2 linked regions of the Cricetulus griseus genome follow. The protein of the gene in region 2 interacts with the protein of the main gene of each other region in a biochemical or structural test. Links are inferred from orthologs where the notes say so. Each region holds a gene or a part of one and is shown on either strand. Other genes may lie near its edges.

What was found.
Region 1: the proteins of Zeb1 (region 2) and ubiquitin carboxyl-terminal hydrolase 51 form a complex in vitro, tested with the Homo sapiens proteins (2 studies listed by BioGRID). The link is inferred for Cricetulus griseus from reciprocal best matches to the Homo sapiens genes ZEB1 and USP51.

Annotation. Positions count from the first base shown.
Region 1 is NC_048604.1:110,911,854-110,914,250, reverse strand, and holds the end of ubiquitin carboxyl-terminal hydrolase 51, read right to left. Parts: coding exon 2,001-2,397; 3' UTR 62-2,000; downstream 1-61.
Region 2 is NC_048596.1:208,641,057-208,644,556, reverse strand, and holds part of Zeb1 (zinc finger E-box-binding homeobox 1), read left to right. Parts: coding exon 1-890; intron 891-3,143; coding exon 3,144-3,324; intron 3,325-3,500. UniProt on the Homo sapiens protein: Acts as a transcriptional repressor. Inhibits interleukin-2 (IL-2) gene expression. Enhances or represses the promoter activity of the ATP1A1 gene depending on the quantity of cDNA and on the cell type.

The sequences.
Region 1 (2,397 bases), on a different chromosome or scaffold from region 2:
GTGCTACACGTGTGTAAAAAATATTCTTAACAGGGTAAACAGAGAAAACAATGAAACTTACTTTTGCATTCAACAAACATTTATTAACACAAAAGTGAATAAGGCTTGTCCCTCTGCTCTCAGGACCTGGTGCAGAGAGGCAGACATTCACGAAGCTACAGTAGAATCACAGTTGAATAAGTACTATTTATCGAGGTATAGACAAAGTACTTTGGAGGCACAATAGGAGAGAAGGGGGGCAATTATCTACTTTATGCCTGCATAGGGGATCCAGGGAATGCTCCAGAGAAGTCATCTCTGAGTTGGTCTTAGAGGAATGAAGTCACCAAGTGTATAATTAAGAAAGGATCCTTGCAGGCTGGGGTTATATCGATCTAGGTAAGGCTAGGTAAATGAGGGACTCAGGGAATCAGGAATGGGGATGGGATGGGCATGAAGAGGGATAGGAGTTAGCAGGGCTGTTAAAACACAAAGCCAGAGTTCTACTGCAGAAATTAAAGATCTTGCTTCCCCATGAGGCAAAAGACTGAAAGCAGGGAGTTTAGGAGTTTCTCAGACATGGAACTCCCTGCCACTTTCTCAGTCAGATCATGGGGCTTAAACACCAAAAGCCAGAACTTCACAGTTAGGAACTAATTTCTCTAAGCCACAAAATTACTAAAAGGCCCCATTCAGAAGCTAAGGATGTATATGAATAATGAGTTCTAAATGGGAAAAATCTTGATGTTATCACTTTTTTCCAATATAGTTAACTCTGCATTGACATAAAACTAAAAAAATACATATGTTCACAAACCATTTTTGTCTTACCATTATCTTTCATTTATAACTTTTATATCCATCTATATTTCAATATACTTAAGTACAAAATAAAATTTTCAACTTTCAAGTACGTTCTTATTTACATATTCTTTTTTCAGTTGTCAATTTGTGAATATTCTTTTGAAACTTAAAATTTGCTATTATACTGAAATCTCTGAAGTTGAATTTATATAAGGTTCTCTTGTAATATTTTAAAAATTTGCTTCTCTTTTTGAAATATTTAAAACCAATTTTTTGTTTCCCCAAATTACCTTACACGTTGTTCTTTTAAACTACTTTATCTGATTTTGACTAAAATTTCATTTCATTCTATATTTTGAAAAATTTAAAACTCTTATAAGCATACTTCTGTAAATATTGGTTTTCCAATGCATATATTTTATGCTTTAGAATTTTAGAATCTATGCATTTTCACTTTAAACACTGAGTTTCTAAAAGAATTTCTTTTGCTATTTTTAAATTAAAGTGTTTATTTCAATAACTACCATATAAATTTTCATATTTCATCTTAAATTGTAAGAATTTCTAAATACTCTATTTTCACATACTAACAATTTGGGATCATTTTAAATTAAAAACATTTAAAAATATTTCTTCTAAAATACTTAACTTAAAATTTTGACATTTAAAATGTTCTCTTAAAACTTTCAAAAGCGTTTTTAACAATTTTTCTTTTAAAGCTTTAAAGTTTTTCTTTTTAAAATATTTGGTTGTTTTTTCAGACTATTTGTGCACTCATAACTAGAACTACACAATCAATTAAAAACCATTTTCCTAAAAGATACTTCCCCACTTAACACAATTATCTTTAAAGAAATAAAAAGCACATAGTAATTTGAATTTATCCGCACCTCCCTCCACCTTGATTTCCTTAATTTCTTTTTTGTGACCCTTTTTGACCTCTCCTCCCCTCCCCCAAATTCTTAAGGCTAAATGGCCACTGATAGTTCAATGTCTTCTTCTCATAGACCTATGGAACAAGTTAAAACAGTTCCTTTATGCCAAAGTGTCACTTGTTATATACTTGTTATGGTCACCGTTCACTCCAGGTAGATGTTTGTGTTTCTTTAAGAGGTGCTTGTTGTTGTGATGGCATTGCAATTGTCCGTTCCAGGTAGGCTTGTGTATCGATTCAGGATCCTTGCTCTTTGATTTTCTGCAAAGCCTTCTGGGTATGATTATTCTTTATCTACATCTTGCCTGTGATAGAACAGCAAATAGCCTTCACTATAGAGTAGCTCCTCCATTGTAGCCTTGGTGACGATGGCATCATCACAGCTGAACCACTGGTCCTTTTGTTGACGTACGAAGCTGGTGTAATGGCCACTTTCCAAAGTTCCGTGGTGGTTAATCACTGCAAACAAAGAATACTTATTCTCACTGGGCACACAGTCTGCTAATGGCTGGCCTTTCATTATGCTTTCTTTAGTAGAAGCCAGAAAGGGTGTCATGTCCAGCTCCAAAGGAAATGAGATAAAAGTGTTAATCTTGCGTCTCTGTTTGCCCAAATGTTCAAACCGTTTCAGATGAAAGCAGGCCACAATTGGCAATTTCTTCATTGTGAGCTGTTTGGTA
Region 2 (3,500 bases):
AGGCCTCTGCTTCGTCAGCCAGAGATGGCGATTTGTCTCCCAGTCAGCCACCTTTAAAGAACCTCCTGTCGCTCTTAAAAGCCTACTATGCTCTGAACGCGCAGCCAAACTCAGAAGAGCTCTCAAAGATTGCAGACTCTGTGAACCTACCACTGGATGTAGTTAAGAAGTGGTTTGAAAAGATGCAAGCTGGACAGATTCCAGGGCAGTCTCCTGAGCCACCTTCTCCAGAAACGAGCACAGTAAACATCCCTGCAAAGAGCAACGAACAGCCTCAACCTACAGATGGAAGTGAGCCCCAGGAAGACAGCACGAGTGGACAGAGCCCTCTCAAGATGACTAACTCCCCAGTTTTACCAGTAGGCTCAGCCATTAATGGTTCCAGAAGTTGCACATCATCCCCGTCACCTCTAAACCTTTCCTCGGCCAGGAACCTGCAGGGTTACTTTTGTGTGGCGGATGGTGCCCAGGAGGAGCCCCAAGTGGAACCTCTTGATCTCTCACTACCAAAGCAACAGGGAGAGTTACTGGAAAGGTCGACTATCAGTAGTGTTTACCAGAACAGTGTTTATTCTGTCCAGGAAGAACCCTTGAACTTGTCTTGTGTAAAAAAGGAGCCACAAGAGGACAGCTGTGTTACAGACTCAGAACCAGTTGTAAATGTAATCCCACCAAGTGCCAACCCCATAAATATTGCTATTCCTACAGTCACTGCCCAGTTACCCACCATCGTGGCCATTGCTGACCAGAACAGTGTTCCCTGCTTACGTGCACTGGCTGCCAACAAGCAGACTATTCTGATTCCCCAGGTGGCTTATACATACTCTACTACAGTCGGCCCTGCAATGCAGGAACCACCAGTGAAGGTAATCCAGCCAAATGGAAACCAGGTTAGTAAAGTACTAGCTAACTCTTTCTAGTGACGAACCCTCCATTCACTGGAGAGTCAACCAGATTGATACAACTGTCATGTTTAAAAGGAACTTAAGCAGTTGCTTTCCTTGTGTGGCAGGATGCCTTCCTTTGCTTACTAATCTGAGGTGGAGGCATCAGCTACAGTTGAAAGTGTATTTTCCTCTGAAAAATAGTGCATAGACTTCAGCTAGAGACATACCTGAGCTTAGAAGCATAAGAGAAAAGTTATACTCATTAATTAGGTGTCTGGTTTTTTAGCTGAATTCTCAAATTGGTAAGTTTTTACTTTGTTTATGATCATTAGTAAATAATCGTGTGCCCATCTGCCATAAAACACCAGGAAGACTTTACTAGTGCATTATGTACCAACACATTTGTTAAGAGGTTTTGGTTAAACAGAGTATGCTGGGAACTTAGCCCATGCATTCATGGGCTGTAAATTAAGTGTTCAGTCATAATTACTGGGGCCAGGGGCAGGCGGGAGGGGGGGGAGGTATTGCTGTGCCCCGAGTGTGCATTTGCCTCTTTAGACAGATATTGCTTTGCTTGCTTTGTTTGAGTTTTGGATAGAACTCTACTGTATGGCTGTATGTTTCTCAAAGTCTGTCCAGAATTTTTCCATGTCACCAGCCTTTATGTCACCACCTTTTCATCAGTTTTTTTTTTTTTAAATTAAATCCAACACCAGTGGTGACTGTTTGATCTTACTGCGAGTACAGCTGTAGTTACATATGTATCCTGCTCAGATGTGCCCTGTTCCCTTTGGTGACCTTTCAATACTGTACCCATGGGCTTCCCCAGAACTGTAGTAACTCTTGAAGAAAACATCCATGTGACCAATGACATTAGATTTCTGATGTATAAAAAAAAAAAAAACTAGTGTGTATGTGAGTGTGTGTGTAATGAATACTTTCGTATGTACAGGTGTGTCTAACCATGAGTGTGCATGTAGAGGCCAGAGATTGACAATGCAGTCACTCTTATTATTTTTGAGACAGGGTTTCTCACTGAACCCATTTTGTCTAGACGGGCTGGTAGCAAGTCCTCACTATCTGCTTCTCTATACACACTCACATATACTCCAGTGGTGGGATTACAAATGAGGGGCACACGTGCCTGACTTTTACATGTGTGCTATGGATCTGCACTCACCCTTATGCTTGCAGAGCAAGCATCTTCCCCCACTTAGCCATCTTCCAGCCCTTTTGACACATTAGAATTTAAAGAAAACAATTTTTACCATTTCAAATGACTGTTGAGTCAAAGAGCTGTAAAGTGGAGTCACTTCTGCACTGGCAGCCACAGTGACAGGTGCAGATAGCTGTTTTCAGGAGATCAGTGGGTTTAGAGGCAGAACTCTGGAAGACTTTAGGAAAAACACAAAGATCTTAGCTTACCTAAGTTTGCAACAGGCCCTCTGCAGGGTTATTCCAATGAGAAGAGTGCCTTCCTCCCAAATGACTTCCCTGAAACCATCTGAGATTCTGTGTCATATTTTGTTCACTTTGTGAGAATTGTAGGGCTCTTTTTGACAGGCAGCTACTACTCCTATTTAAAAATCACAGACCCTCTTATTCCAGAGAAAGTGTGGACTAAAGCAAAGCTGTCTTTGTCAGACCAAGGCAGCCAGCGCAAAAACCTCTAGAATGGAGGACACGGTTTAAAGATATTTTCTAAACAGTGTGCCTTAGTGTTTACTGTGTGAAATACAGATTTTTTTATGAAAAGTATGGTAAATGATGAAGTTGTAAATGAATAATGAACTAGCAAGCTCAGTGGTTAAAACTTTCTGCAGAATTGCTATAAAATCATAATTTTCCAGAACCAAGTAAATGTGGCTGCTATCCCTCCAGCTTTCCTTCTTCCTCTCTTTGTCTGTTTGTAGCATGAGCTAGTGCTCCCGGGAGCCCATGTGTAGTATCATTATAGTGTGTACTTCTTGTGGTCAGGGTGATGGAAGCAACCTTCCAACATGAAGTTTATCTCCTGTGCAGCATCTGATTTCCCTACATTTGTTTATTTATGGACAGTGGAGGATCTCACATGCCACCACTCACACGTGGAGGTCAGAGGACAGCTTGTGGAAGCCAGTTCTCTCCTTCCACCATGTGGATCCCATGGATCCAGCTCAGGTCATCAGCCTTGGTGGCAAGTGCCTTTACCTGCTGAGCCATGTCACTGATCCTATCTCTTAAATCTTGAAATTTAATCTTCTTTTTTTCCCTTAGGATGAAAGGCAAGACACTAGCTCAGAAGGAGTTTCCACCGTGGAGGACCAGAATGACTCTGACTCTACGCCACCCAAAAAGAAAACTCGGAAGACAGAGAATGGAATGTATGCGTGTGACCTGTGTGACAAGATATTTCAGAAGAGCAGCTCACTGCTGAGACACAAATATGAACACACGGGTATGTCAGTGGACACGAGCACAGCCAAAACCCTGAAGCAACATCTGAAGTTCTCTCAATTACCCTTTGGTTTCCACTTCTCCAGTCTTCCTACAGGAAGTAGTGTTTAAGCCACTCCTTCTGCCTTTAATGACTTCTTTCCTACCCTGACACAGCATTTGCTCTGTGCATGTTTG